Notamacropus eugenii: one gene and its partner. The protein of the gene in region 2 binds, or shares a complex with, the protein of the main gene of each other region. Links are inferred from orthologs where the notes say so. Each region holds a gene or a part of one and is shown on either strand. Other genes may lie near its edges. The genes, in order: SHH and DISP1.

What was found.
Region 1: the proteins of DISP1 (region 2) and SHH are in contact, whole or in part, in a cryo-EM structure (PDB 7E2I), measured with the Homo sapiens proteins. The link is inferred for Notamacropus eugenii from reciprocal best matches to the Homo sapiens genes DISP1 and SHH. Residues at the interface, in NP_001356523.1 of Homo sapiens: Lys242, Thr244, Gly245, Tyr246, Lys247, Ala248, Glu260, His265, Arg299, Phe336, Gly337, Asp338, Leu339, Cys340, Gln341, Arg342, Thr343, Glu459, Arg899, His904, Asp906; in NP_000184.1 of Homo sapiens: Pro49, Asn50, Val51, Thr55, Leu56, Gly57, Ala58, Arg68, Glu71, Phe73, Lys74, Leu76, Thr77, Pro78, Tyr80, Pro82, Arg96, Leu97, Gln100, Lys186.

Annotation. Positions count from the first base shown.
Region 1 is NC_092874.1:89,218,708-89,234,936, reverse strand, and holds the start of SHH (sonic hedgehog protein), read right to left. Parts: upstream 6,302-16,229; 5' UTR 5,865-6,301; coding exon 5,556-5,864; intron 1-5,555.
Region 2 is NC_092873.1:413,857,501-413,873,963, forward strand, and holds the start of DISP1 (protein dispatched homolog 1), read right to left. Parts: upstream 8,608-16,463; 5' UTR 8,341-8,607; intron 7,950-8,340; exon of another isoform or gene 7,841-7,949; intron 7,740-7,840; 5' UTR 7,453-7,739; intron 3,990-7,452; 5' UTR 3,628-3,989; intron 1-3,627. UniProt on the Homo sapiens protein: Functions in hedgehog (Hh) signaling. Regulates the release and extracellular accumulation of cholesterol-modified hedgehog proteins and is hence required for effective production of the Hh signal. Synergizes with SCUBE2 to cause an increase in SHH secretion.

The DNA of each region.
Region 1 (16,229 bases), on a different chromosome or scaffold from region 2:
TCTATGGAGTTCTTTTCTGCCTGGGTTTTCTGTGGTCTGATTGAGTTTCTTGTTTTCTTTAACCTTTTCCCTTCCCTTCCCTCCCCTCTTGTTCTCTTGGCCCCAGTTTAGAATGGCGTCCAGCAAGTTTGAAGAGCAAACTGAAGAGTTGGAGGGAGGGGGTGGTGTTTCTATGTATAAAGAGGAATGGAGCTGCATGTGTGTGGGAGGGGGGGTAAGAAGGAGGATGGGGAATGAGGAAGGGAAAATGTTTCTGCAAGAAAGTCTAGAAGATAGAAAGACAAGCATTCTTTCTGTTTCTTTTCTGTCCATCTATCCATCCATCCATCCATCCATCCATCCATCCATCCATCCATCTATTCCCACACACATGCACACAGAGCATATGCCAAAATGCTCTCCTTGTAATTACTCCAATGTTATATTGGTCTTGACCTAGTCAAAGAGAATTCTAGAGGAAAACTGAAATATACTTTTGGGATATGGGGACTGAGCTTCCCAGGTAACTTTCCTAACTTCACTTCCTTCAGTCAGGTCAGAACTATAACTAAAAGAAAGCTGTGGGAAGATTTAACTGAATGAATGGAGAAAATTGAAAAAAGAAGTTGGTAATGGAGGATAATGATTGGGAGGTTTGAGAAGGGGGTGGTGACGGTGAATTTTGTGTCTCCAGGAGATATAGGATAGGGTGCCTTTTTTCTAGCCAGAGTCAGAAACCAGGAACAGAAGCAGAGACTGTAGAAGAACTGGAGGTGACTTTAGCCAAGGCGCCTGGACTGGCCCTCAGTGACTGCCAGGGCTGTTTGCTGTTAACTTCTCCGAAGACTAGAGACGATGCTTGACTTTCTCCCAGACAAGTCTCCCCAAAGAGGCTACCAATATGTAAAATCGCCCACCACAAAGGAGCCCTTTACAACAGCTTGTTAGAAAGTCTTTTGGGGACGGGGTAGCAGGGAGGTAGCTGGGTGGGGGGGGGGGGGGGGTTGGAGGCCGAAGTGCACAGTGGGGGTGGAAGTGGGGTGAAGGTGGAAGGAGACGGAAGCCTTATAGTATTCCTACTCCACAGTTTTCAAGGGAATTTGACATGATTGCTTAACAGGAAAGGTTCTGTGTATTTGGCAGCAATAAAAACGGTAATATAGTTGTGGGAGTTAAACATAAAAGAAAAACAAGAAGCAGCAGGGGGAAAAACAGGCTAGCCCTCGCAGGATTCTGAGGCTGCTAGACTTTTTTTTTTTCTTAATGGAAGAAGAGTTTGAGTGAGGTCACCACGAGGATGACACGCACTTTACGTGGAAGACCAGCGATTGAAACCACGCTGGATTTCTAGCTTGGGAGAGTAAGCCCGCCCCGCGGCCACGGGTGCACGTGCGCACATATACAAACACGCATACCCACGCACGGCTTCTCTTCCCTACCCGGGGTCTTTCCCGACTCACTTCACAGTCTCGGTCCCCACCAGACTGTGAATCTTTAAACAGCCCGGGGCAATCTAGGCTCCCATTCCGGGATCGAGATCTCTAACTTAAGCTGGGCCATTCGGAAGTGAGCACAAGGATGCACTCAGAGGAAGAAGGATACGGGTGTGGAGTGGGGAATGGGGATGGAGGCAGTGGGGGTGGAACGTGGGGATTTGGCAAGAGCCCCCCCCCCCCCATCCTTTTAATTCTTTCTGGTAAAAGGAGAAGTACCACTACCACCACCCCCATCACCACCACCTTCTCCTCCTCCTCCTCCTGCTGCTGCTGCTGCTGCTGGCTGAAGGACTCTCACTCTATACTGGCTGAGCTGGATTGTCGGAGTCAAAAGCCGTGAAGCTCAGACAATTTATTAATTCACTGGGTCGTGTGCCACGAATCAAGCCCAATTCTGTTCACTCACCGTGAAGCCCAGCAGGGCCGCCTCAGCTCGGGCTTTTGTGTCAGCCGAAGCAAAGTAGTTCAACACGCCCCAGCTCTCTGCCAAGCGCCTAACCTCTCTCTACACAAATGAATGCTCGGAGGAAAACACTTAGCAGGTACCTGTCAACTGTAAACAACTTGGTGGGTTTCCCATAAAGAGGGCCACCCTAAACTTCAAAAGATCCACAACCCGCAAAATCATACCCTACATACGTCTCCTGTCCTACTTAACTAAGAAAAAACACCCCCTCCCATCAAAGTTCCCCCTCTTCCCCCATATTTCAACATTCCCTTTCCCTAACTTGATTGCAAAGCAGACGGGACATGCGTCAATTTCAGGCCACTTCCCTACTTCCCCCTCCATACAGGTCCGACTTCCCTTACTAGCTTCCCGCTGTCCCCCTTTCAGACCATTGCCCCCCCTAAGACTGGGGACCTGACCTGCCTGAGCCTGTAAGCGATGTCCGTCTGCGTTTCCCCCTTCCCTTGAGTTAATATTAACCAGTAGCTAATGCGTTCAGGAACGGTTCTCAAAGTTCCACTGGGGAAGATCTCGCCATGGTTGAGGGACTTGTGAAGCAACACACACACACACACACACACACACACACACACACACACACACACACACGGGTGTTTGGTCTAACTCAGGGAGACCGCCTGCTGAACCCCAGTTCAGAAGACACGTCTTTGCAGAGAAACTGATCACCAGTCTTCCCATCCCCCCACTTCCAGATCAACAGGATATTATTATATCTCACAACTACACCCCAACAACAATGACTTCCTTCCCCCCCCATCACACTTTTCACTGGGGGAGCCCAGAGAACAGGATATTAGGAAGGGTGTAGGGTGGAAGAGAGAAACCAGGTGACTGGACTGAGTCCTCAGCTCTTCTTTCTTCCCACTACCATGCATTATTTTTAGGGTACTTCCATGGGGGCAGCGTTACGGGGACTTGAGTTCCCCTCCCTCCAGCAATCCTTCTGGCTCTTGCCCACCCCCCACCCCCCCCATCTTTTGTGTCGGGAACAGGACTAGCCAACGCTCTGGTGTGCGTGTGTGCGCAAGGGAAGGGGGGAACTTATTTGTTTTCGTTTCGTTCGTCTGAGGGAAGTTGACAGAAGGTCAGAAGTTCAAATGCTGCCGGCCAATGGCAGCCAGAGTGGTCAAGCCCGTAGCAGGCTTGGCGCTGAATTCCCTGGGAAGGGCTAGCAGTTGAGGGGGCGGGGAAGGACGGACAGAGGTAGACGAGGGAAAGGTCGGAGGGGGATGCAGAATCAGTGAGGTGGGGGTGAAAGGGAGAGAAGACCAGGATTCTGGAGAGGCTGGGGAAGGGGCTGCAGAAGAGGAGAGAAGGGGAAAGAAGGAATGAAAAGACGCAGAGCAGTGAAAGAGAAAGCAGACAGGCTATTAGCAGTCCTCCTTCGGAGCTTGCTCTCCAGCTATGTACCCAGCCCTTTAAAACATCTTCACCACACCCCTCCTACCTTCTCCTCCTCCTCCTCCTGCCGCCGCCGCCGCTGCCGCCTGCTCCTCCTCAACCCTCGCCTAGTCAGCCCCCCCCCAGCAGCTTTATTTAATTATTATCATTATAGTATTATTATTATTATCATCACCATCGTTCTAGTGATGCAGCTAATTCGCGGGCGTGATCTTTTAAGGGAGGGGAAGGGTTTCTTTCCTTCGGGTTTAAGAGAATCTGGACTCGTGACGGCGGCAGCGGCAGCAGCAGCAGTAGCAGCAGCCCCAGCCTCTGTCGTATTAGAAAGGATACAAGCTGAAACCCTAGCCGTGGCGATCGATAAAGAAGGAGTAAGTGGAGCTGAAAATGCGTCTGACTTGGCGTACAGCTCCGTTGCCTTGCAGCTTTTCTGAAAGGCTGCGATGACTGAGGGCTGTAAGCACCCGGGAACTGAGGTCTGGTGGGCGGTGGGGGCCAGGGATGGGTGAAACGGGCTCTCGGGCTGTCTGTCAGGCGGGCTTCCACAAACGAGAGCAACTATTAACAGGGTTCTGAGCCAGGAACCTCCGGCCCCCCACCCCCACCCCATCCTACCTCCGATCCTGAGCCATCTCACTACAGCCCAGCCCCCCGCCCCCAGTGGGTTTATGAGCAGCCAGAGGCAGGCTAGGGACAGAGGTTGGGGTTGGGGCGGAGGGAGTGAAAGCTCCTGCCCAAGCAAGCTGGCAAACTCAGTCCAGCACGCTGCACTCAACCTGCACACTGTGGCCTGTACATAATTGAGGCTCACGCTTTTATCTGCCTACAAGAGCCCGCGTCAACGCTCTAGGTAAGATTTAAGGTGGTCGAGAGCAGATGAGGAAGAGAGGCTAAGGACACCCTTTAAAATAGAAGTCATCTTTCAGGACAGTCTTTTTTCCTGCCCCTCAATAAACCGAGGACTTGGGGGATTGAATAGGGTTGGGAGGGGGGGAAATCATTACCAACTCCGACCCCCCCCCCCCAACTTTCCACCCCCACTAGTGCGGTTCCTCCAACCTCATTGCGTTGCTAGCACCAAAGGTGGGACTTAAATATTTTAATAGGGCAATAAAAATGATATTGACCTATATTTGCAAGGAAAACCATTTCCAGCTTATTAGATCTATGGAGTTTCAGAAAGTCCGTGACTGGCGGTCGAATTTGCTTTTCAGACATCTCAATGTGGGAAGGGAAGTACGAAGGGAACGTTTGTTTTGCGGTTTCTTCCTTTTTCTTTTTTTAAAGATAAAATAAATAACAAGCCTAAGATAGTTCTGCATTCCATCTTTCCACTATTCCCTTTCCCCATCCCCCACCCAATATTTATTCGGTTGTAATTCTTGAGCAATCTGATTTAAAAGAGAGTGATGCAATGCTAATAAGTTATAAGTCCCTCCCCTAAGGTACCACGGGCGACGGGAGAAAGAGAGCATCCTTAAAGAAATATCAATATATTCACACTCCGATGGGCACAATTGCAAAACGGTATTGCAATACAAGCTACATAATACAGAAATGGGAGAGCAATAGCTGTGGCTGAAGCCACACTGCCTTTTGTCAGAACAGCCTCCCCTGGCCTGCCGAATTAAGAATTTATTTGAGATGTGGGAAGAGTGGGGGTGAGAAAGGAAATAAAAATGGAGATAGAGAAAAAGTGTCTTAAGATCTAATACTCAAAGAGACAGTAATCCTGATGTGGTGGTCACTGTATATTGGGGGGGGGGGACGGATTCCCCCTTCTTCCATCTCTCTGATTTCTATTCCCTCTCCACCTCCTTTCCTCCCCAAGCAACAAGGACAGACTCAAGGAGCCGAATGCCCTAAAAGCTGAGCTCTCCCTAGCAAGTTGCATGACAGGGCTGAGACAGGATAGGAAGTAGCAGACCAATAACACAGAAATCAAATCAATGACATAAAACCCGAGCTCAACTGCACTCTCCCCACCCCCATTCCTACCCCCAAACTTCTCTAAGCTCTACTTATAATATGGATTCTTTGAGAAAGAGGAAGGGTGATGGGGTAGGTGGCTAAGGAGGGAAAGGGATATTATCTTAAAACTGAGAAGAAAAAAAGGACAGAGGCTCATTCTGTGAGCGCTTCCTTTCACATTTTCCTTGCCTTTCAAAGAAACATATTAAACGCCACACATGGATGGATGGGGTTTCTACCTGAGTCATCAGCCGGTCCGCTCCGGTGTTCTCTTCATCCTTAAATATAATGTCAGGATTGTAATTGGGGGTGAGTTCTTTAAATCGCTCGGAGTTTCTGGAGATCTTCCCTTCGTATCTTCCACTAGCCCCTAGGGTCTTCTCCGCCACGTTGGGGATAAACTGCTTGTAGGCTAAGGGGGTCAGCTTCTTGGGGTGGCGCCTCTTTCCAAATCCCCTGCCAGGTCCGCACGCCAGCCCCGAGGACATTAAGAGGGAAGAGACGAGAACCACCAGCAGAAATCTCGTCAGTAGCAGCATCTCGTCCATTGAATCCAGTTACTTCAAAGCTTCCTTGGTGTGTGTGTGTATGTGTGTGTGTGTGTGTATGTGTATATGTGTGTGTGCGCGCGCCTTTGCGCGTGTCTATCTCAGACTGTCTCCTTAGGTCTCGGTCTCTCTCTCTCTCTCTCTCTCTCTCTCTCTCTCTCTCTCTCTCTCTCTCTCTCTCCTCTCTCCCTCTCCCTCTCTCTCTCCCTCTCTCTCTCTCCTCCCTTCCTCCCTCTCTTCTCTTTCCTTTTCTCTTTTCTCCCTCTCAATAAGCCTTTGCTTCCTTGCTGATTCCTTCAACTATCCACCGATCCCTATCGAGACAGGTGCTGAAATGGCAGGCTGCCGGTCGCTGATAACGGAACACATCGGAGTTGGGTCGCGAGACAGCAATCAAAAGACAAAAAGACTCTGATTTTAATGGTAGCAAGCCTAGAAACGCTTGTGAGAGAAGCCTGCCTTTAGCACTATATTATAGCTGGCAGGGACCACATCTGATTGGCCGAGGCGAGACAGCCTGTCTTCTGATTTAACCCTCAAAAAGGCAACAAAATGTTTCTTCTGTTGCTGCTGCTGCAGCTTGCTGCTGCTGCTGCCGCCGCCGCACTTTCACCTGAGGGCTTGGGCGGGGGGGGTGGGGGGGTGTAGAGGGGGGGGGGGAAGAAAAAAGAAAAGAAAGGGGGAGGGGAAGAACACAAAGTGAATTGTATCGTAGTGAGGTAGAATCTGATTTATTAGGATAACATAAATTACATGATTTTTCTTCTTAAACTTTCCTGAGAAAGGTAAATTTGTCAAGTAAAGTAATAGATGCTTCTGTTAGACAACCTTTTAGGAAGTTTCATACGAGTGCAATTTTTAAAGACAGTTCATTCTTCCTTCTGTCTCATTCCCCTCGCCCTTCACTCCCAGTCAAACCTTGATCATCAGACAAATGTTCAATGAAAACCATGAGTGCAACACGGCTGATTTATACAAATCCCTTTTAGTGACTTTATCAGGAAGGCAAGATTTCTCTCTCTCTCTCTCTCTCTCTCTCTCTCTCTCTCTCTCTCTCTCTCTCTCTCTCTCTCTCTCTCTCTCTCTCTCCTTCTCCCTCTGTTTAAAAGCAACAATATCTTTCCACAAGAGGGAAGAGCCTTTGGCCACTGAAGAAAGCATCCTTGGAAGTAGACTAAGGTTAGCTGTGGACTTAGAAGTGTGTGTGTGGGGGGGCGAGTGTGATTATAACTGGAAATGTCTGAGAGGACTGTTACTTGAAATACTTTAACTGTTAACACAAAATGCTTGAAACACAGTCAAAGTTGAAATAGATGTACACCTCTTCAAACCTTGCAGAACAGGAGAGTGAGAGAACAGATGCCCTGGCACCAGGTCATACTACCCAGTGCCCAAACTAAAGTGGTGTGTTCAAGCTAAGAGGTATTAGGGAACTAGACCCCCCCCACCCCCACCCCAGCTCCAAGAAGAAGGGAATGGGGGGGGGAGGGAAGCGGTGTGGGAAGAGAGTTATTTCCTCTTGAAGGACAGCAATCTTTTGGTAGAGCTTCGCAAACAGCCCCACAGATCGATCGGAGCAAAGTGCAGGGCAAGGGGATGAGTTTAATGTTAAATTCAGGGCTCTCTTCAGCGTAGTGCAGCGATGTCTTTATTCTGGGCTCCCAAAATTATCTGCCAGACCTAAAGTGACTAGAGAGAAGCCGAGTCGCTGGAAATCGGAGTTGGGGTGGGGTGGGGGCAGGAGGAGGCTTAATTCAAAAGCATTTTCTCTAAGGAACAGTCACGTCCCTTTACAAGAAACAACTCCCAAACCAGCAGCATTGGCCTTAGATCTCTGAATCTTTACAAAGTCAGTTCCTTGTACCTCCACACTCATTTCAGAGAAAGTTCCATTTAAATCAGAAAAACATGGAATTTCTAAGCGTCCCATTTGAAGAACATGGTATTTCTTATTTATTCTTTTTGAAAAGAAAAAAAAAGACTACTACTGGGGTGGAAGGAACTGAGGGTCGTAGGAGTACATATGAGAGATAGAACTAAAACTATACACTAAGAAATAATCAGATACTCTGAAAGAAATGAGACCAAAAAAAAGAATACAAATATGTGGGATGGGGAGAAGAAAGTAAATAAAGGTCTCCCAGACCTCAAAGTTTTAACTCCCTCGGCAATGCGGTAAATTGGGTAGGTCTATGAAATATTCCATCGCAATAACCTTTGAGGAGGGGGTAGTGGTGGAAATTAACACTCTTATGGCATTTCCAAAATGGGACACAAGCTCTTGCCTCTTCCCGCCTCCCGTTTTTTTTTTTTTTAATAGTCCCCTCCATTCAGATCTTTACAAAGTACAAAGCCTGGTCCCCCTATCCTACGACTCAGGAAGAGATCTGAACAGGCCCTGGGTAGCTGGAAAACACCTTCCCAACTCTATCAATTAAAGGACGGATCTGTGTTAAAAGTTCCCGGGTTAGCTCCAGACAGATAGACCTCAGCTGACAAGTCGGTGTTTTAACTTTTTGCAGTGTGTGTGTGTGTGTGTGTGTGTGTGTGTGTGTGTGTGTGTACTCAACCCGTGAAAATAGATACAAGAAAGATATAACGTTATATCCCAAAGAAGGTATGGTCGTTTGATGTGGTTACCTGGCGCAGCACGTGTTGATGTAATATGATTAAATAGTGCCAGGGAATAAGAAGTGATCCTGCCTGTGTGGAATATTGCACACCTTTTGATCACCCTCCCCCGCCCTGGCACGTCTCTCTCTTTCCTTCCCCTCCCTTTTTCCACCCCCGCTTCCCCGCCCCACCCCCAACTTCACAAATAAATAAATTAATTAATTAATAAACACATCACTTGATCGCTTTTCCCCACTGGCCACTTCATTCGCGAGCCCGGCAGTGAAGGAGTGAAGTCTAGAATCCCGGGGAACCTCCTCATTAGCCGGCTTTCCATACATACAAAGCAGTCAGCCAGAGAGCAACAGGCAAGGAAAGAGGAGGAATTAATTAAATGCAAATCATAAATGCACGTGGAAAAACCCCAAACCGACAACATAGAGGGTTGGCTTTTTACTTTTTTATTTTTTTATTACCGTGTGTGTGTGTGTGTGTGTGTGTGTGTGTGTGTGTGTGTGTGTGTGTGTGTGTGTAAAAGCCAAGAGTTGAAAATCTCAAGTCAGAAGTTAGAGAAAGCGGAGGTCTGGGTGGGAGGGGAAAGGGTCGGGGTTGAGCATGCTGCAGTTTCAGTTTGCGTCCCCAGCCCAGATTCTGAGATCTGGCTGAACTGCTGCATTGCCTCTTCCTTCTCCGTCTCCCTAAGAGAGGACAGGCAGGGGACCCAGCTTGGCGTGGCCCATCGGATAGCTCAAAGGTTGATTTAAAGTCGCCAGGATCCCTCACAGCTTCTGTCGGTAGCAATGCGACATCCCTGCCTTCTCCCCAATCCTCCCTCCCAGTATCTTCCTCTCCTCCACCTTCCCCTACACCGGGAAAGAATGATGTCAGGAGCTGGATGGATTGTCAAGTCTTAAAATAATGATGAGGGTAATGAGGATGAAGGGAAAGCCCAGACAGGATCCAATACTGATGCCCTCGTCAGTTGCATCGATCTCTCGGTCATGAATTGGGGTGTGGAGGGTGGTAAAAGGAGAAAACAAAATAAAAAAAAAAGATTCCACAATGCTCACAGTCTCATCGTCTAAGAAAACCGAGGGTCTGGTTGTTTCTTGGGAAACACTTTCAGTCAAAGTGCTGGAGGTGGATGAAGCAGGGGCAAACAGCTCCTCTTCGTCCCAGACCCCTCCCCCTACTGTCTCTCTCCCCCCTCCTTTCATCTCACCGACACCCTTCCCATTTCCCAGACACCAGACACTCTTTCTGTCTTCCACCTCCAGACACCAGATGGCTCTCTCCCTTTTCCTCCCCCACCCACTTCCAGACAAGCCAGGCCCCTCCCTTTGCCTGACTGTCAGTCCCAAATCCCAGCCTATTCCTTCTGCCTGTCAGCAAGTCCCATTCTCTGCTTCCACTCCACCTGGGTTTCCCCCATCCATCCATCCATCCATCCATCCATCCATCCATCCATCCCACTAGAGGACAGGTGACCTCCCTTTGGATTCTACCCCCAAGCCCCCAGATGGCGCCCTTCCTTGAAACAGCTCCTACTGTCTCCCCCTTTCAGCCCCAGACACTAGATGGCCCCCTCACTCTGCCTTCAGATTAAACATGGAGGGCTCAAGCCTTGGCCTGGTTTTCCAAACCAAAACAAGGTGCCTGAGATAACCTGGAGGCCCTGGGAAGATAGGCTGACCTTTGTCATGGAAATCCTTGAGAAGATAGACTGACCCTCCCACTCCACTGCCCTCTTCCCCAACCATCATCATGCCACCTGTACTTTCTCTTTATCCCATGAGATTTATGCTGGAGTGCTCTAATGCTTCTCTCCATTTACCTCTATTTCCTAGTCTCCAGCTCCAACGTTACATTTACCAATTGGGATAACCTCCTCCTCCCCTTTGGCATCTCCATTAGTTCTGTACATTCTCCTTCCCTTCAGTAATGATCATCTCAATCTTGCCTCAGCTTCATCAGCTCTGATTTCCATCAGTCCTATATTTCCCCTTCTGTGCTTCTAACTCCCCCCGCCCCACCACTGCCTACTCTTAGGGTTGCCTTGTATGCATTTCTGAGGAAAGCATCTGACCCTTACCTCCATAAAGTAGATGCCTCCATAGGGTATAGAGGTGACAGTGGGTTCTCCGAGGCTAGACCAGCAGAAGGAAGTCCTGGAGGGTCCTACCAAGCTGAAAAGCCCAGTCAATGCTTCTGTCAACCAAGGACTTAGATATGTTTTAAAAGACTCATCATCTCAAGATAGGATACTAAGTTATGCTTTTTTCCTACTATAGCAATGAATAAATGAATGGATAAAGCATTTATTAAACACTTTAATGTGATACAAAGAGACAATGAAAATAGACTGATCTCAAATTCACTAAGAATGAAAGGTTTCAGATTCAAGTCAAATAGAAAAGTCCCATGCTCCTCAGGGTGCCATGACAAAGCAGACATTAATGCTTCTTGAATGTCATTCTATCAATTTCTGATGTTGAACTATTTGTCAGTGCCAAGGACTTTGGTGGTAAGAACTTTCTTTTCTAGGTCTTTAATAGCTTGACTGCAGCACTTGTAGGAACAGTTGCCAGGCTGCATTTCCACAAGGACTGCTTCCCAGAATGATGGCTGAGATGGTTGAGGGCACTAGGCTGGAAGCATTGCTGTTTCCAAAACTCTTGGGCTCAGGCTTCTGGACTGCCTCCATCAGGGTCTGAAGGGAGATGGTTGCCAAGGTGGTGGTGGTTGTTTGACTTGCTTGTCTTTCTCTTAGGGTGCTTGATTCAGTAAGACTGGCTTTCCTGTCAGTCTGGGTGATAGATAGTTACTTTTGGAGACTGTCTACTAAGGGGTCACATTTTTTTATTAGTGACAGAAATACACAAATGAAATCATACATCCAAGAAGTGCTACTCAACTCATAATTTTGGCAGTTCCCTTCACCATGGCAGTTCCCAAGATCAAAGAATATAGAGATTATCAAGTCCAGAAGTTTTTAACCTTTTTTGTGTCTTGGACCGTTTTTGGCAGCCTGGTAGTCTATAGCTCCCTATTCAGATTAATGCTATTAAATGCATAAAATAATATACACAGGATGATAAAGGAAACCAATTATATTGAAATACAGTTACCAAATGATGAAAGAAACAAGTTCACAGACCCCAGCTGAAGAACCTCTGGTTATAAGTCCAGCTCTCTAATTTTATAGATCAACCAATCCATAACCATTTAGCAGGCTCCAACTATGTTCTAAGCCCTGGTCTAGGCCCAGGATACTCAAATAGATCTGTGATCTCATAGATTTTGAAATTCCCTCCAGCAGTGCATTAGCAGCCCATTCATGTCTGCCAATTCCATTCTACTTTGGTCCACATCTTTCTATATGTTTGCCACAGGGAGTTCACCTAATATATTAGAGGCCTTCCTCAATTTCTTCTTACATTGTAAGGGTACCACGGAAGCACTCTCTTATCTTGATACAGGCAGGACCAAACCATTCCTTTCATATAATTAATTCCTTGGTAACATTTCTTATTCTTTTTCTTCAGAATTCCTCAGTGATTATTTCTTGCAGCCACCTCATACCCACCAGGAAAGTCTCCATTGCCTTTTATGATATTAATTTTTGATTCTTTGGAGAAAAGCTATTATATATATCTGCCATACAGCAGTATTGGTAGAATGTTGATATTTAAAAGATAGGCTTTTGCTTTCATGGGAAACTTGGAGTCATTAAAGAAACCTGACAATTTTCAAAGACTTTCTTTTCTCCTGTTCAACTGGGTCCCATTAGCTGTTCATTCTTGAAACAAAGGTACTCAGAATACAAAGACAGAAATGAAACAGTCCTTGAATTCAAAGAACTGCCAACGTGCTTCCAGGGAGAAAGAACCTTGGCTCTGGAGTTCACAGGCACTGTCTCTGACATGTACTACCTTTGGACCCTTAAGGAAATCACTTTATTTCTCTTGGACCTTAGTTTATTTATATATAAAATGAGGGTTTTTTAAAATTAATTATCCTCTGAGGTATTTTTTAGCTCTAGAGCTATGATCCCAATAAAGCCTTTTTTAATGTATGTAGTCAGTAACAAGCCTGAGGTTTGAAACCTTCTCCTTTCATGTCCAGCATTATGTCCATGACATCACACTTCCTCCATGTATCCTGGGAAGATGCTAAGCACTGGGCCCTTGGGATTAGTGGGAATAAGGTGACTGTCTTCAACAGCCAAGTCGTGTTCATAGTTCTCATTGCATCTTCCTCCCACACTACCAGGCCAAAGAAAAAGACACAAAAAACCCTATAGACTGTCAAGGAGAATCACCCATTGGTGGGTAGCACCAGCTCTTCATTAGATGTGGCTGAGAACCCAGCAAGGAGTCACCTCCTTTCATTTTGATTCCCATGAAAGTGAAGGGCTGGGGAAGTTACTTCCATTCCCATGGGCCAGAGTTCAGGAGGACAGAGGCATCTCCTCAGCATCCTTAGATCAGGGTCAGCAGCGGCAGCATCTAAGGAACTAAATGCCACTGCAGCAGCAGGTTTGCCTCTCATTCCCACTTGTAGTGGGATAAAGGGTTCTACTGCAGCCCAAGAAAGCAAGAGGAGCAATGGTTCTGTTTGGTCCTATGGTCTGTGTTTATATGCGCTTGGCTGGCTAATCCTAGATGTGGAGGACAATGTGGTTTTGGCAGAAAAGATACTGCACCAGAAGGTGTGAAACCTGCATTTTAGGCTTGATTGCCTGTTCTCTCTGTCTCCCTTCTTCTCATACACACACACACACACACACACTCCTTTTTAAAATTTATTTATTTTTAGTTTTCAACATTGACTTCCATAAGTTTTACAATTTTCCCCTCCCTCCCCTCTCCTTCCCCAAGGTAACCTGTAATCTGATACAGGCTTTACATATGCATTCCTATTAAATATAACACATACTCTCTTTCACATACACAAACACACAAAGACTCTCTCTCTCACACACATACACACAAACATGCACACACAAACTCCCACATAACACTGGTAGGAAAAACTACTTTAACCTTCCTGGGTCTCAGTTTCTTGATCTGTAAAATGGGAATAATAATACCTCACTTTTATTGGAAAACAATATACTCATGAAGGTTACGATCTATGACTTTTAGTGGATCCTCCGTTCCCTCATAGTACATTCTATTCCACATAAGGCAGACCCATACTAGCAATACAAAGCCAGCATGATCATAAACCTTGCTTTTCTGTGGTGATTTATGCTTTCCAAAACACCTTCATATGTGTGATAGCATCTGAGCCACACAATAATCTGATGAGGTAGGACAGGTTCCCATTTTACAGATAAGGAGACTAAGATACAGGCTCAACGACTTGCTTAAGGCCACACAACTAGTTAGTGACAAAGATGAGGCCCCTTGAAATAACAGGCCAACAAAGGCAGGAAATAATTAAGGATGAACACTCAACTTGAAATATGCAGCCTTGTGCATATGTGTTTAAAGTACTGGCCCCTCCCTTATCTTTACTGAGTATAAGAGTTTAATTTAACTTGGGATGAAGGCTACAAAATTGACTTGGAGGAGTTAGTTAATCTCACATAATCCTCAGATCTTGAATTTGAGGACTTTTTAGATTTGAAGACATTGCTAGTTGGATACTGACATCCTTCTTTGCCCCTTGACTGAATAAATTTGCCTCTTTGGGTCTCAGTTTTCTTGATTGCAAAATGAGGAGGTTGACTTAGATGATTGCTGAGGTTGCCTTCAGCTCTAAATCCTATCTTCTATGACACCCCACTACCACTTCTGCTGGTGACAGGATATTTCAGCTCAGCACCATTAGATATGGCAAATATAACTACAAAAGGAGGGCACTTGAATTCTGAAAGGCACCGATAGGCAATTAAGTTACATTCAGGCACCATGGAGATTCCTACAGGCAGCAGGAGGCTGGTGGCCAAGCAGAGCAGCTCCCCAGAACAGGGAAAACCTGGGCAGATACACACTAATATCGTGTTTCTCTATTGTGTTGTGTAGAATTCCACATGATCCTGAACTTTCCAGAAAGGAAGAATAAAGAATGATCGTCCCAGGTAATCCCATGACTGTCATTTAGTTTTGGAAGTCTAGCCAGTCAGTCAGTAAAACTTAAGTGCCTACTATGTGCCAGGTACTGTACTGAGCACTGGGGATCCTAGTTCACCAAAGGCAAAAGACAGCTCCTGCTATAACTGTATCTCTATTTTATTTCCCTAGAGGGAATGAAGAGGAGGAAAAGTTTTGCTAAAGGAATGTTATCACAATGGCACCCATCAGCCCCACCAGGATTAACTTTACACATAGGAAAAATAGGAAGTATCTATATCTATCTATCTATCTATCTATCTATCTATCTATCTATCTATCTATCTATCTATCTGTCTGTCTGTCTGTCTATCACAACCATGTTGTGATTTGGGAAATGCTGGGAAGGCCCAATTGCCCTCTCAACTTTCTTCTTTCCCTGCTAAAGCTTCAATTTTCTTTGCCAGAACTTGATTCCTTTACTTTGAAGCAATGTACTGTGGTAGAAGGCTTTTTGGCTTTCATGTCAGAAGTCTTGGATTTTCATTCAGTTATTTCATTTCCTACCTGTGTGACCTTGGGGAAGTCATTCAACCTCACTGGCCTCAGTTTCCTTATTTGTAAAATGGGGATAATAACTACCTGTAGCAGAGGAAGTTTGATAGAGGAAATTCTTCACCAGGAGTTTCTTTCCCTAATGAAATCATGAGTCTAGCTCCCAAGTCATTCAACCCTTTTATAGTAATTCCCTTACAAAGGTGTTAGGAGGCACAAATAATACATATACATATACATATACATATACATACACACATATATGTCTATGTATATATGCACACATATACATTATATATAACTTTGTAAACTTTAAGATATTATGTAACATAAGCTATTATTTTCATCTCATTCTACTATGATTTTCTGCTAAATAAGGGGTTCAAAGTAACCTCTGAGGCTCCTGAAAGAGAAAGCCTGGAGCACTGGCAAGAGTGCCTGTTGGACCTAGAGTCAAAAAGTTTCCAGGTCTGAATGCTGGGTCAGACACTTGTTGGCTACATGACCACAGAGAAATCATTTGGTCTGTCTAAGTCTCACTTTCCTCATCTGTAAAATGGAAATGTTGATAATACTTCCACTACTTACCTCAGGAGTTGCTATATGAATGTGATCATGTATTTTGAGTAGCAAAATTTCTTGCAACTCTAAATCCTATGATACCTTTCCCATAGTATAATGTGGGTGTTTCTGAGAAAGATCAAATGTTTAAGATTTATTCATTATGTTATATTTTAGAGCAGAAGTCCCTGAACTTCCTGTGAGGAAGAGTTATTTGTCAGTTGCCTTAAGCCTTCAGGTCGCTTGTGGGAGCAGGAGAGATGCTGACAGTCAAGGCCCCAGGTAGGGGTTGCTGGCAGAATAGTACTGTTGTTGACTCTGCCCTCTCATTTCTGGAAATCCTAATAAACTGTGGACAAGGGATGGTGGTGGGGAGACCAGTATCTCAGTGGTGGGACACCAGGAATTTCTTGCTTCACCATCCCTCTTTTAAGCTTATGAGAGTTTCTGATGCTTTTGGTTTATTCCAAACCCCTGTTTTGCTCTCTTTTTCTTCTTTCACCAGGTGCCTTCATTTGGTGACCTCATCCGTTCTGTGGGTTGGATGATTATTTACTTCAGGTGACAATCAGGTCCA
Region 2 (16,463 bases):
TCAGTATTAAATCTATTAAATATGACAAATGAACGCTTAAAAATTTTAAATAAACACTAAACTTGATCGATTACTACCTATACTATCTGCACATATAATCTATTCGCTACATGGATGCCATTTCAATACCAAGTCCACTTAGGCAAGAGTTATAAGCACATTACTCAATAAAGAATTTGTTTTAATCTCAATATTACTAATCACTTTATATAGTCTGGCCACTTTAATGTTTTGTTACTTAAACCAATAGAAGTCAACACTCATATAGTCTTACAGGGAACCCTGGACAAGCGCCACTGCTTGTCTGCGTACCTGTTTCATTTGTCATTGGTCATCACTAGATGACCTCTAAGGCTTGAAAACTATAAGCTGATATATATTCACTCATCCTCACAACACTGTGAGTTGGTATTATAAACCTCAGTTTTCCAGATGAAGAAACTGAGGCCCATAGTTATAAAACTCTTACGAGCCAGAGGCAGGATTTGAATCTAGTCCTCTACTGACTTCAAATACAACACTAGACCACAGGAATTCTCAATAAAATCAACAGCTGATTAAGGTCCACCAATCTAGTCCAAGGAAGGGAAAATGGCCAGGGGTTACAGAGTTATGAAGCCAACACAGCAAGGCAGAAAGAATTTCAACTGCCAGGAGATAATGGCTTCTGGATTCTCCAGATGAGCTGGTGTCATAACTCAGGTCCTCACAGTTTCTATGCTAAGCACAAGCCCAACTCAAACCAAATGGATCAAAGGGTTGCCTAATAACCAGAACACCACCCTCCCAGTAGCAAGGTTTTCTATCACTCATCTGTTACAGTAAGCAATCTAGGCTGGGACTAAGGGAAATAAAGTCATTTTCTCCCAAGTTGTAAAGCAGCTAGTTGGTGAGAAAACTAGGCCCAGCCTCTCTCTAGCAACCTTTTCTGATTTGATATCCAAAGCAAGAGGACTGTGTGCTGGCTCATAGAAAGTTCCTTTCTATCCAATGTGTACAAATAATTAAGTGGCTATTTATAATAAAATTAATGTTCAGAGACAGTATACATAAAACCAGAAATCAATATACCCAGAGACAAGTAAGAAAGCTTTAAATTTATTCTGTGATTATAACAGAGGATAAAGAATCTTAATCATTCAGAATGCAGGGCAAAATACATTACTAGAAACTGTTACACCAGAAGACAGATGTTCTTGTGTTTCTGCTCCGAGAACTTCCTTCCAAGCATGAACTAAAGTTTGAAGATTCGAATGCTTTCTCAACTGCTTTTCTCCCAGAAACGAAGGGAAAATGGGCTGGGTAAATTTTTAATCTAAACTGTATGGAAAAATAAAACCAAGCCTTATCAGATGAACAGATCAAATTAAGGCCTATCTACTTGAAAAGGGAACAATTAAAATTAAAAGCTATATCTAAGAATGAATATGGCAGTTAATGTAAACACTTTAGCGAACTGCTGGGTTTTTTCATCTATTCCTCCATCCCCTTAAGAAGGAAGGAAGAAAAGAAGGAAGGAGGGAAGGAAGGAAAGAAGGAAAGAAGAAGGGAGGAAGGGAGAAAGGGAGGAAGGAAGGAAGGGGAAGCATTCAATGTACTAAGTCTATATTCTATAGCAGTGGTTTGTGCCAATGTTATGTTTTATGTCTAAGCCAGTATCAGGAACACTCTTAAATCTCGCTCAAACATAAATCTTCAGGGCCACCCTAGAAGTGCTTTTTGAGGTAATAACAAAGGTGGCAAGGCACTTCACTGTCAACTACAAATAGCAGTTCCCTACTTAACATGGAAAGGTTAAGAGTCAGGCTACTGAACCAAACTAAAAGTTACCTACAAAGTAAAAGAAGCAAATACTTGAAAAGCCAAACACTTGAAACAAGCAAAATTGCCAATCATCAAATACCAACTTGCACTAGTAATAGAAATTCTGGCTCTTCCTAGCTAAAACTGGCAAATTTCTGGGCAAACAACATTGCAGCTACTTAATAGCCAGAAAGAGTCTGATTGCACAATTACATTGAGTATACATTTATATAATATATAATATTCACATATGTATGTGTGTATGTATGTGTATGTATACAGTCCAGACTTGTGATTTCATTGCTGTAGAGAATTCCCCATGAGGAAACTCCTTCTACTAGTACAGCTCGGTACCTGTCATACAACATCATACCTTCAGACAATGCCTGAGGCATTGAGAGTTTCAGTGACTGGTCCAAGCTCACACTGCCTGTGTCAGAAACAGTATTTGAATTCAGGTCATCCTATTTCTACCTCTCTTTATAAATAAGTGGACAGATAAATAGACAATACATATATAATCCAGAAGATAATTAAGATTAGTAACAAATTACCAAAAAGTAGGCATGTTACAAGACAGAAAAATTAAAATAAAATGCTGAAATGTAGGTATAAAAGGACAGAAAAATGGTTTCGATGCCATATTTTAAAACCATCTCATATCTTCTGATCAATACAATTAGAATTGTTACTCTATATTGGATTCAGTAAAGTTGGGAAAAGGGTCTTTCCTTAAGAAATGCCAGTTATTAACAGCATCCTAATTCAAATCTGCCATAATTGGGGAGGGAGGAATAGGTGACAAGAAACATGTCTCCTAATCTACTCAAAACTACCATTTTTGGGGAAGAAATAGTGGAAGAAAAGAAGTAATTCTCCTAATCTGAAGAATTTAACTAAAGGAACTATCCAGGAGGCCAACATTTAGGAAATGATCTGGTGTATCAAAACAGACATGTCAGAATATAGAAACAGAGTGTAAAAGAAACATAAACAATGTACTATGACTATAAATCCTACAAAGGGAGGCCTCTGAATTTTTCTTCAATAGAAAACAAAAAGGTGGCGAGGACACTTTCATTAAGCAATAAAGTAACAAAAATACAACAAACTCCGTGAGAAGGAACCAAGAAGAACGGTTCTGGTTGATCGTTGGAAGGGAAATTTTACAATATAATGAATTGGAAAGCGGAAAGCAAGACAAGTAGCTCTACGAAATTAGACCTGGGTGAAGAAGAGTTCAAAAGTCTTCAGTGGGTTTGGAAAATCTTTCCCTGAAATCCACACAGAAAAATACCTATATCAAAAAACAGTATTAATTGTAAATGAAGCAGTGACAGGTCAACATCCAGTACCCAGGTGAACACGCTTCCCTAACCCTGGGCGTCTGTCACCTCTGGCAGCGGAGACCCCAGTCTTTCCCTTCGGGAATTCCCAAAGGAGAGCTGCTCCACCTCCACCCATCTCCTACAGGTCAACCGGGGCTGCCCTATTCTTCGCCAGAAGCTTCCTCCGGCCAGTGGTCCACCCGCCTTGAGAGATTCTCCACGCAAAATGTCCATCTCTGGCGGGATGACATCCCCAGCTGCCCCCCCCACGCCCTCCGGGGCTCCCTCCTGGGCACGCCCGGCTGGTCTGGTGCCCTCCAAGGTGCCCATCGCTCAGAGCGCTCCCTCCTCCGCTCTCGCTCTCTGCCGGCCTCCTCCCGCAGGGCTCCGCTCCGCTCCCGGGGATTCCCTAGTCCCAGTCCAAGCCTCCCTTCTCTCCCTCTCCGGGATCCCCGGTCCCTCCCCTTCCAAGCCCGGGATGTCCCCTGTCCCTCACCTCCGATCCCCCGGGCCCTCCCGTGACACCGGGACAGCGGTCTGGCCGAGCGCCATTCTCTAAGGAGACCAGACGCTCGGGCTCCTCCAGGGAGGGAACCAGGTTTCCAAAAGCTCACCTTCTCTTCCAAGCCGCCCGGGGGCCCCAAACACCAGCGGGGACCTGTTCTTCCGGCTCCGGACGGAAAGGGTTGCCGCGTGGGGCAGGAAGTCCCGCCTTCCCCGTCTCGCCAGTCCTCGGTCCGATTCCCAGACGTCACGTTACGTCACCTCGACACTAACAGGCTCTCGGAATCCTTAGGGAGCCCGGAGAGGCGCTCTCCCGCGGGGGAGGGCGGGGGCGTGGCTAGGGTGTGGCGCGAACTGGAGAAAGACCGGGAGCGGGGGCGGAGTTAGGGCTCCGACTGAAAGTAGCAAACAATGAGTCTCTTTCTTCCCTCCCCCTCTCCCCCGCCCCATCTTAGACTCCGGAGATTGGGGAGATCTCCGAGTACTTCGAGTGCTGCCAGATCTTGGACCTTCCAAAACTCCTCAGCCAGGTCCACGAGCAGGGCTGGCCAGCCCGAAGACCTGCCGAGGGGGAGGAGCCGGGGCAGCTCCGGCCCTTTCTGTTACTGTTACTATTTGTATCCGATGTAGATAACATGTCAACTGTGGGTAATAGATCAGCGTGCGTCGTATGTCTGCCTTTATATCAAGTGTGGACAACCAATTACTACAGATATTACTTAGAGCAAAGTAATTGTTTCTTATTATTATGACTTTTTGTTGACGTCAAGCCCAAATCTTCCACCTTTGCTCCCAAACCTGACCTCTGGGGCAAAGAAAGGCGTCTAGTACTGCTTGGAAGCAACCCCCCTTCAAATACTTGGACGCAGTTATCCTCCCTCTCCAGAAGGATATCTATTATATTTATACAGAATTTATCTATATTTTATACGATCTATACATAATATATGATATTATATTGACAGAACTGAGGCTGATGGGGAAAAGAAAACTGGGGGCGGAGGTGTGCAGGAATAATAACCATTTCCAAGTTATTTGAAGGGCTGTTACTTCAGAGAAGTACTAGACTTGGCTTGCTGCACCCCAGAGGTCAGGGTTGGGTGCAATGGGTGGAAGACTCGGGCTTGATATGTAGAAGTAATAATAGTTATTAGCACTTGGATATATGTACGATCCATGTCATTTATCTATCTATATTCTGTATAATCTATGTATTCTATTAAATATGCCTCATTATAATAAATTACTGTATATCATAAAATATATACCTACATTTATATAATCTATTATATGCCATACTAATATATTTATGTTAATGATACACTATAATATAAAATGCTATGATCATTTTATGCTGTAAAATATTGTTATATATTATATGTTGTGTTATGTTGTTATGTAAAGTATATATTAGATCTAGATTATCTCAAATAGAGGTATATAATATAACTTACATAATATGCATTATACTTAATATATCAATTATATCAAATATAGGTATAGTAAATGATATAGATAGTACTCATATCACAGTAATTATTTGTTATTATTAATTATTTCCACATATCAAGACCAAGAGTCTTTCACCAAGTGCTCCCAACCCTGACCACTGAAACCAAGCACAATAATAAGTCTAGTAGGTCATACCTTCCCACCTCCCTCCCCAGTTCTGTTTTCTCCATCAGCTTCAGTTCCTTCAAACATCCTTACATGGACTGGAGGCCCTTTACCATCCTTGTTGCTCTCCTCAGACATTTTCTAGATTATCAGCAGCCTTCCCCAAATGTGGTGCCTGAAGCTTAGAAAGGAACTTTGGTGTATTAGAAAGCATGGGTAAACGGAGAGGAAAAAGTAGATTTCTGAACATTTTTTAAATAGAGAGATGGGGGTGCCACAAATGTGGACTGTTGCATGCACTTTTGGTCAATCACCTGGCACCTACTATGTGCCAGGCATGTGCTAAGTGCTGGGGATACAAAAAAAAGGTAAGAGACATTACCTGCTTTCAAGGAGCTAATGATCTAATGAGCGAGACTACATACAAGCTATGTACAAACAAAATATGTACAGAATAAATTGGGGATAATCTCATAGGGAAGGCACCAACATTAAGGATTCTTGCAGAAGGTGGGATTTTAGCCGAGACTAAGGAAGCAGAGATGTTAGGAGGCAGAGATTTGTAGGGAGTTCTAGGCATGGGAGACAGTGAGTCAAAATGCCGGGAGCTGTACATCAGACTTAGCTCTCTCTTCTTTGCCTGTCAGCCTTTCCAGGCCTCCTCTCCCAGGGCTTCACTTCCTTCCCTTATCTATTCCCCATCCCTCCAGGGAATTCCCATCCTGTCTTCTTCCTTTCTTTCCCTTTAATCTTTAATTCCCATCACCATATTATTCATTTTAGTGTTGTCATTCATTATAATTATTATCACTTATTAATTTTACTTGAAGGGAAGGTAGATGGCACAGTGGATTGAGCATTGGACTGGGAATCAGGAAGCTAAGAATTCCAAGAGGCAAGGGGAAGAACATTGTGACAGCCTGTGCAAAGTCACTGAGGCAAGAGATGAAAAAGCAAATAGTGTATCTTTGAAAGTAGTCATCTCAGTAAGCTATGCACCTATTCCATGATACTGTCATAGCTCAAAAAGGGAGTGCCTTCAGGGCCTTGCAACACATTCATTTGAATATCTTAGTTGGTGGTAAATCCTATTTTTCACTATTTGAAGATAGATTCAAATTTTAGACATCAGCCAAAAGTCACTTATGATTACCTGATGAATATGTGGATGAGTACCACATGGCAAAACCATTTTTGCACCCTATCCCACGCCCAAAGGTGAATGAAACTATTTTCCTTATTTTGAAAAAACTAGCTCTCAAAAGCTGTTTTAAATGAGCATTTCTAAAAATGTTTTAGAAATGGAATAACCATTCCACCTACCCTCAAAGTGTTATTGTAAGAATCCAATAAGAAAATATATTCATTCAATAAGCATGTTAAAAGTGACTACTATGTGTAAAGCATCGTGCTAGACGCTAGCAATAAAAAAACAAAATAAAATGTATTCCCTTCCTTCAATGGGGCTGGGAATAGGGGTTGAGAGCTGAGTGTGGGAGTGGGGAACAGAATAGAAAGTGAGAAAGGGATGGATGTAAGAGACATCGAGGAAGTATAATTGATGAGACTTGGCCACTGATGGGATCTGGGTGTCAGGGTAAGTGAGAGTGAAAAGTAGAAGATAAATCTGAGGCTGCAAATGTGATGATGATGACTCAGCAGAAATAGAGAAGTTTAGAAGAGGAATAGGTCTAAGAAAGAAGACTGTAAGTTGTTTGGGCATTTAAAGTCTGAGATACCTATAGATATACAGGTGAAGATGTCCATTGGTATTTATTGATTTCTGACTGGAGTTCAGGCATGAGATTGGGGCTGGATTTGAAAATTTGGGAATTATATGCAAAAAAAAAAAAAAAAGTAGTTAAACCCAAGAAATAGAGCCTTGAGGGAACACCCAAGGTCATAAATGTCAGCTATTATTACTATGAACTGAACACAGTATTTCAAATCTAGCCAGACAAAGGCAGAGCACAGTGGGAATAATACTTCCTTCACATTAGTCACTGTGCCTCAGAATGCAGCCAAAGATGACATTAATTTTCTTTTTTTTGCTACTGTGTCCCATTGCTGATTTATACTTCTATGCTTCAAACCGTCACCACTCCTACCCAGCCTCTTCAGATGAATTGTTATCCAGCTATTCTCCTGTTTTGTACTTTTTTAAACAAACACAGGAAGCTTTTTGCAGAAGAATACTTACTTCAAATGTATCACAAACACAAATTCACTCCCTCCGACAACACGAGGGAAGCACAACCCTCGGTCCCTGGGGAAGGAAAGAGGGTTAGGTGCGCAGTTTATCTCAGTTTCTGTAGAGTCCAGTCCCAATTCAACATGCAGAGCCCCACTGAGGCTCAAGTCCCCGTCATTCTGACTTGTCAGGGCTTCCAAGCTGGCCTGATGGGCTACATGCCCCACTCTTGCAATCCTGGCTCCAAGATCTCCGCCTCAAACTCCTAGTCCAAGGGTGGGGATCACCTCAGGCACCTGAAAGTCAAGGAAAAGAATACGAAACGGAAACAAACACCCCCGGGCTCATGTCTCTCAGACAGGTAAAAGAAGGAGAGCAAGGGTTCTTTCCTTCTTACCGGTTAAGTTCATGGAAGTCACACAAAGTCTCTCTCTCTCTCTCTCTGACTGTCCCCTGCATATAACATAGGAAGTCTTGGGTTCATCAAACGGAGGCAGCATAAATATCTCTAGCTTCCTTTCCCTCCACCATTCTCCAAAGGAGACTTTAATCCTTGCTTGGAGGAGAAAGAGAAAGTAGGGGCGGGACGCCCCTGCTCTCCTCAGAGAGAGAAAGTACTGGTAGGGTAAAGTTATATCTATCTGTTCCCTTAAAGTCTAAGGGATGTGATGAGACTCAAGCTAACTTCGGATTGCTGTTCATTACTGGGGGGTGGGGGGAGGAGAGAGAAGGACCCCAAGCTCTATACCCACACCAGTTCCACAATGAGCACACAAAGACAGCCAAGAAAATCCGTTTACCCAAATGGGTAGCAAAATGGAAATCAGACAAGGTATGTGTACATACATACATACTTACATACTTATATACCAAACAATATAGAGTGAAGGAGCTTACCTCTTAAGAGGGAGATAACTCAGCTCAACCAAAAGAGACAATCTGAGATCTCCACCACAGTCTCTAATGTAGCAGGTTGCGGATAGGGAGGCTGCCTGTTGATGATGATGACTGCCAGTTCTTTTATCTTCTCAGATAATGATGGAGACTGCCGGTTCTTTTATCTTCTAAGAGCATTTCTCTTCAGCAGCCTGAGGTGGGGGTGGCTTTCTCTACCTCCCCTCTTGAAGCTGGAAGCCCAAAGCTACTCATAGCTTGAAGACAACATGAACAAGGCTCAAAGAAGATGGAAGAGAGGGAAACTCTTATCAACTATGCCCCACCCTTTGTGCAGAATAGGGTTTTCATCTCTACCAAGGAGGAAAGAATTTCTTACCAATGGACTTTGTTACCGAGGTTACAAAAATGAATATTTTGAACCAGACTATAGAATTTTATATTTATGACATTCCAATTTCATTTTAAAAGATCTAGGTCGTATTAGTATCTTCAAAGCACAGATTTTAAAGTGGAAAGGATCTCAAAAGCTATCTAAGTGCAACCTCTCTATTTTCCTAATGAGGAAACAGAGGCTCAGTGCCTTCAAGTACACACAGGTTGGTTGGTTGGTTGGTTGTTGTCCTTCATTCTCCAAGAGAACCAAAATGACATCACCATGATAAAGTCAAGTTTTAATGTGTCCGACTGTGGCTGATCAGACCAATACAAACTCGGAATGCTCTACCACAGGTTGGGCACAGATAGTCCATATGAATTTTGGGGGTAGATACTCCAGATTTGCTCATCTTACATTTACTTTGTGCTGTTTCAATTCTGCTTTGCTCATGGAGCATAATACCCTTTCTGATGTGGGCATGCCATTCTGTGCAGTCCTGTGCCAGTATCTCCCATATTGTACAATCAAATCCAAAGGTCTTGAAAGAGACCTTGAGAGTATCCTTGCATTTCTTCTGACCACCATGTGATTGCCTGCCCCATGTGAGTTCTCCATAAAATAGTCTTTTTGGCAAGCGTACATTTTGCATTAGAACAACATGACCAGCCCAGAGGAGTTACGCTCTCTGCAGCAAATGCTTGGCAATTTAGTTTGAACACACAGGTAGTAAGCAACAAAGGTGGAACTTCAAGAGTCAGAAAATCTCATCTTCTTGAGTTTAAATCTGGCCTCAGATACTAGCTGTGTAACCCTAAGCAAGTCACATAACCCTGTTTGCCTTAGTTTTCTCATCTGTAAAATGAGCTGGAAAAGGAAATGGTAAACCACTCCAGTTGCCAAGAAAATCTTAAATGGGGTCATAGGAGTCAGACACGACTGAGCCAACCAACCAAAACTAACTCCAAATCCAATGACCTTTCCACCATACAGCTCTACGTCCCCAGACATTTATGTTAAGATTGGAGAAAAGTTCTGATTTTCTAGCTAAGTGCCAAACCAATCTAGCCTGAAAGGCAGACTGAAATCCAGCTATAAAGAGAAGTAGAACAGCCAACTAGAGAGTCTCCTAGGACTCAGAAACATTCTGCATCATGCCTCTCTCCAATCAGTTTTTAAAGTCTCAGAACAAAAATGCTCTTCCTGATCATTTCCTGACCCCTGAGTCATATTTTTAAAAAATAGCCCAAATATAATAGGAGACCCTTGCTCCAGTGAGGGAGGTGTTCAAGAATAGGAGGAGAACTTACCTCAAGGTAAAAAAAAAAATCTGATTTGGAACAGCTTTTTACAGCTATTTCAGTGTTGTTACTGAAATCTAGCTCTCCAACACATCAGTTTAATTACATCAAGAATGATGGTGTAGAGAATTAGCAGCAAAAGCCCTATTTCCCTCTGCAGTTTCCAGATCCCTCAGTGAATTTCCATCCTGGTTAAATACATCAAATATATTTTCAGGGTGGGAGGAGAAGTACTTCTGCATTCTAATTTTCAGAATCAAAGAGTAGTTCTTTGACCTTCTCTCTCCGTATCTTAAAAAGGGGCAAGTTGTTGTTGGTTAGTCATGTCAGACTCCCCATGACACCATTTGGGGTTTTCCTGGCAGAGATACTGGAGCAGTTTGCCATTTCCTTCTCCAGCTCATGTTATAAATGAGGAACTGAGGCAAACAGGGTTAAGTGACTTGTCCAGGGTCACATAACTAGTAAGTGTCTGAGGTCAGATTTGAATTCAGGAAGACTCATCTTCCTGATTCTTGCCCTAGACTCCGTCCACTGTGCCACCTAGCGGCCCTTCCCTCCCACTCCTGCTTAAAAAAAAAGTAGGTAGAACACATGAAAAGGGAGACATTAGGGTTGTCTTTCTGATATGTTATATGGAGCAGTTTTGCTGCCTATCTCCAAACTCTGCATTCAGCATTTTACCTATCTCTCTTAGCTTTGTGCCATTTAAAAATCTGACCTGTATATTTATTATAGCATCAGCCAAGTTGTTGATTAAAAAAATTGACTTTTTTCTTTTGCTTTTAATTTTATTTCTTCCAATTTTCAAAAATCCATCTTCCTCTCCCATCCCACCCCTTTGAAAAAGGAAATAGAAAAAGAAAACCCTCATAAAAAATGTGTTTAGTCAAACAAAACAAATTCCCAAATTGGTCATATCTAAAAAAACATGTAGTTTGTCATCTATCTGTCAGGTGGTGAGGCTCATACTCTATAAAGAAGCCCCTGGAATTATGGTCCGTCTTTTCATTGATCACATTAATGATGATTGATACTGTTGACAGCCAGTAGCACTTCAAGGTTTACAAGGAGCTTTATAGGTATTATTTAATCCTCACAACAAGCTGAAGAGGTAGAGTGCTATTATTTATCCCTATTTTATAGGTGAGGAAACGGAGGCTGAGAGATGTTAAATGACTTATCCAGAGTCACACAGCTATTAAGTGTTTGAGGCTAGAGTGAACTCAGAACTTTCTGACTCCAGAACCAGAGAGCAGTCCATTTCTCTACCTACCTGTCTGAGGTATTTCAAAGTTATTTGCCTGACATATTATTGTCTTTGTATGAATTGTTCTCCTGATTCTTCTCATTTCAGTCTGTGCCAGTTCATACAAATCTTCCCACAATTATAAATGTTAATAGTTATAAAAATGTTAAACAGCATAGTATCAAAGAATGACTTCAGAGTCATTCCACTAAAACTTCCATCAATCTAATGTGAATAAATACTTGTCCCTTTTTTAGTTCAATTTTTCAACCTTGCTTGAAATCCACATAACTGTACCATCATATCACCCTCATCACAACATCTTTGTCCACAAGAGAATGAGAGATTTTGTCAAAGACTTTACTTAGGTCTATATATACTATTTCCTGACAGAGAAGTGATGGCACAGAACCCAGATTGGGGCATTTACTTTTTGGATTTACTTTTTTCCAATACAAGGAATCTAATTTGTTTAACTATATGTATTTGTTACAGAAGATTAGTTTATTTATTTGTTTTCAATGAGGGGAAGGGGAAGGAAGAAAAAATAGGTTTTTTTCATTGAAAAAAATAAAACTTAATATTAAAAACGGAAAAGTGAGTGGTAGAAACAATTTATTCCAGGCATGGGAGACTGTCACTGAAAAGAGTGCCAGAAGACTGGTGAACAGCAAGAAGTCAGGTATTGCTAGAGTCAGTTGGTAAGTCAGTCAACAAACAAAGAGAAAAGCACCACACAAAATGAAGCTGAAAAAAGGGGAAAAGTCCAGAGAATCAAGAGCAGACCCAGGAGAAGAGTGAAAGACTGGCCTAGACTCTTCTTCAAAATGAAAGATACAGAAGGAATTCGACCATCAGAGCAATGGAAAGTGTATTGCATAGGCAGAGGGATCTCCAGATTAGAAGTCTAAAGGCATGTTAGAGAAGTCTGGAGAGTCAGGAATAAAGCCAGGAGAAAGTAAAAGAGAGGGAGTAATATATAAAGAAAGTGAAAAGATAAGACAGTGGAAAGGTTGTGAAGGACTTTAAATTTAAGAGAGAAGAAAATGAGGTGGGACATGAAAGTAACATAAGTTAGATAAGAGGAAAAATTTTTGTAATAGTTATGATGATGAGGTATGAAATTTCCCTAGATAAGGTTTAAAAGAAAGAAATTTTTACTGCTTGTTTTGAGGAGGGGTGGAATGTAATGACCTCTCCCTTTCTCTGTAATGGTAGCTCCCTACTCTGTGGATACAAGTAGAAATATTTTTTATATGCAATATTCTTCTCTTCCTTATTCCTCTCTCCTCACCAGCTAGAGGTCACAACAATCTGCTTTCTCCTTGGCAATCCACCTCATTAAATCTTTTTCAAGTACCTACTATACGTAAGGTACCATTTTAGGTACCAGTGACAGAAGAAAAAGGTCCTGCTCTTAAGGAGCTTACACTCTCCTGGGGGGGGAGGGGGGGAAGGGATGTAGCATGCATAGAAATAAGTAAAAACTAATTTGAGTTGGGACCAGGAAAAATTTGATATAGGACACTGAGGTATATAGACAGATGAAATATTTACCTGTGGGACTTTGGGAATGTCACTTAGCCTGATTGGGCTTAAGTTTCCTTCAGTTATAAAATGAGAGAACTGGATTATGGTTTGTTTGGGGTTTTTTTCATTGTGTGATCCCTTTCATTTTAATGGAGAGCTTAGACTATTTACATTTAGAATTCTAATTTTTGGTTGGTCAGTTATTCAGGTCAGAAAGGAAAAAAACTTTGCTATCCATATTATTTCCATTATTAATCCAAACGTAACAAATCTTCTCTAAACAAAGTTCTTCTAACTCAACTACTTCGTAAGTTTTTTTAGTTTATATTTCCTCTTTATTAGATATGAGTTTTGCTTTGAGATTACTCTTCTCTGCCACCCTCCCTTTTTGTTCTTTCATCCAGTTTCTTTGAAATATCCATTTGAAATATTTAATGAGTTAATCAACACAATGTTCTAAAGTTTCCCTCATTTTGTGTGCAATTAGTTCCTGTTGATCAGAGAGCTGTGAGTTGTTTTATATATTTGGTTTTTGGAGGCTTATTATTTATAGCATTTTTTTTAAAATTTTTGATTTGTTAATTTATTTTCAGCTTAACACATTCAGTTCCACAAACTTTTGAGTTTTAAATTTTCTCCCCTACCTTTCCCCAAGACTTCCTGCAATCTAATACATTCATGTTAAACACATTATCACATTAGTCATGCTGTAAAAAAGAATTATAACCAATGGATGAATAATGAGAAAGATGAAACAAAGCAAAAAAGAGAGAGAACAAATAGTATGCTTCGAACTGCATTCAGACTGTAATTCTTTCTCTGGATGTGGATAAGCATTTTCCATCATGAGTCTTTTGGAGTTGTCTCATTACCTTGTGTTGCTGCGAAGAGCCAAGTCTATCAGAGTTGGTCACTGCACATATTTATAGAGTTTCTAAAAAATGCATATATTTCTCAGTGAAATCTTTAAAGTTCTAGTGCTCTGCATATATCTCCCTCTTGCCTTCAGAAAGCATACTGACTTTATCACTTAATTACATGTTCTATTCTAATTATTCTGATTGTCTCTTCTTTCACATGAAAAATCCATGCTGATCTGGATTATTGTTCCTTAGTAAATGAATTCTATATTCCTTCTGGCAAGTTGAATCTTTTTCTAGTTTAAAATTCGTCACATTATGTTGTGACTTTATATCTATAATATATCTATCTATATCTATGTATCTATATCAATAATGTGTCTAGTCATGCCGATTCCTGGTTTGTTTGGGTTTTGAGGTTGTTGAGTTCCTATGGACTTGTATTTATTTTTCACTATTAATTTTTTTCTAATTCTGGAGGTCTTCTTTGACAATTTCCAAGAATATACTCTGGGAGCTAGGTGGCACAGTGGATAGCATGCCTAGCCTACAGTGACAAAGACCTTTTTCTTCCTGAGTTCAAATCTGACCTCAGACACTTACTAGTTGTATTACCCTGAGCAAGTTGCTTAACCTTACCCTGTTTGCCTCAGTTCCTCATTTATAAAATGAGAAGGAAATGGCAAACCACCTTGGTATCTTTGCCAAGAAAACCCCAGATGGGGTCATGAAGACAACAATGGTCATAAGATTTTATTTTTCTAAATATTCTGGGATATTACTCATTCTGAGATTGTTGCATTGAGATTTGTGTTTCAAGTCTGTCACTTTAGTCTACATACTTTCAAATTTTTAAAATAAATCCTTAAATATTTAACCTATGTTTCCAACTGTCCTGTATGATGTACAAATATATTTCCCTTTGCAGTAAGTTTGCTTTTGATTAATTTTATAGATTTTTTTGAGGTTTTCTATCATATTCTCCATATTGTTCAATATTCCTACTTTGTTGACATGGCATTTTACAGTGAAATGACATTATACAGTGAAACAATTTGTTCTGTAACTCATTTGTTGGGAAAAAATCATTTGAATTATGGGAACTGTGTCTAAAGATACTGTAATTTAAGTCATCTGGAAAAGATACTTCATTGATAGAAGGATTAGAAAGGAATCTGGCACTTTGCACATAATCACCTATAAAAAAAAAAAGAATATAAACATTGCTACACTACTCAGATGTAGTGAATTTTATCAGATTGATTTAAAATGAACTCTCTATTCCTTTACTGCTGAGGTATGACAAAAATCCCTTCCCGTATCTTTATTCTCTGTGAGCCTTGGGCTTGCAGAGAAACTTTCCCTCCCTTCACAAAAGACCTGGAAAGAAAGGGGAAAGGAAGGAGAGGAAAAGATAGACAGCAGCGTCCATCTCCATGCCAGTAATGAAGCTCATTTGTTTTAACAAATCTATAAAAACTCTTGTGACGCATCCGTTGTATATTTAAATCAAGGGACACAAAGGGAAACAAGAGAGTAAATTCTCCCGATGGGTGGTGGCTACTATCTTAAATATTAATATTTTCATTGCTTAGATTAGGAACAAGAAGAAATAGCTTGCTCAAGAAAATAAAGCTGCCCTTCAGTAGAACAAAAATGAAAAGGGACTGGTGCTCGAAGACTTGTTCAGGCTTTGAGTTCTCTCTAGTGGCCAGTGGGACCGTAACAGCCTATGGAAGGGTTGTCGGTCCAGAAAGTAGAATGCCACCTGGTGGCTACCGTAGATACTGCACTCTGAATTATTCAAAAACCCCTCTCCTGGAGTCAGGAGCCAAAACTAAAAAACCCATGTCACCGTGAAATGTTCTTAACTTTGACCTCGCCCCCCAAAGATACAATCTGATCAACAGGATAAGAGCTAATACCTAGATATACAATACCTCTCCTCAGTGGAATTCCAAACGAAGTATGTATGATTCCCTGACTCTGTATTAGTATAAAACTAATCAGATTCTCCCGTCAGACCTCTGGCAACTCAAGTCAACGAAAATGTCAGATGTCTAAAGAAGATCCTTTCCTCAACTCCTTGAGTTAACAGTTGAACTAACAGTTTGAGAAGTGGGGAAAGAGGTTCAGAAGGGGATTTGTAACTATTATTAATTTCCATTGTAATTCTCATTTTTTCTTCCAAAACTTCCTTTAACACTGGTGAGCATTTCACAAACCTAGTTGAAACATAGTAACATAGCTTGATTTTAGTCATTTTCAATTTATGGCTAAGAACATTCTTGGTTGAGGCAGTCGGAAAATCTGCCTTAGACATTAGAACGCCTACAATGCGTTTAATGTTTTTGGTTTGCTTTTATAAGGTTTTTAATAGGACTTGGATGGGTTTCATTCTGTATAGGTGAAATGGTTATCCACATGGATGAGACCACAAATTCAATGAAGCAGATACGTATTTTTGTAAGGTTATGAACTTTAATTCATGATATGTGGGAATGAAGGGAAAGGGGAGTTTTTTTCTCTTTTTACTCCTTCTTCAGATATTCCCACAGACCCTGGACAGTTCAGAGGCAGCAGTCCTCTGCCTCCTTACTTATTATCTGTTTGAATAGGGAGTGCTGGGTCTCCCGTTTACTAGCTGTCTGATCTCCAAAAGCCTCAAAACATTCTATAGATGTGTTGTTATTATTTCATTGCTGTAAAATAGGAATAATACTTACATTAACTCCTGGCACTTAGTGCATGCTTAATAAATGCTTGTTGACTGACTGACTCCCTCAGAGGGTTGCTGTGAGAAATAACTG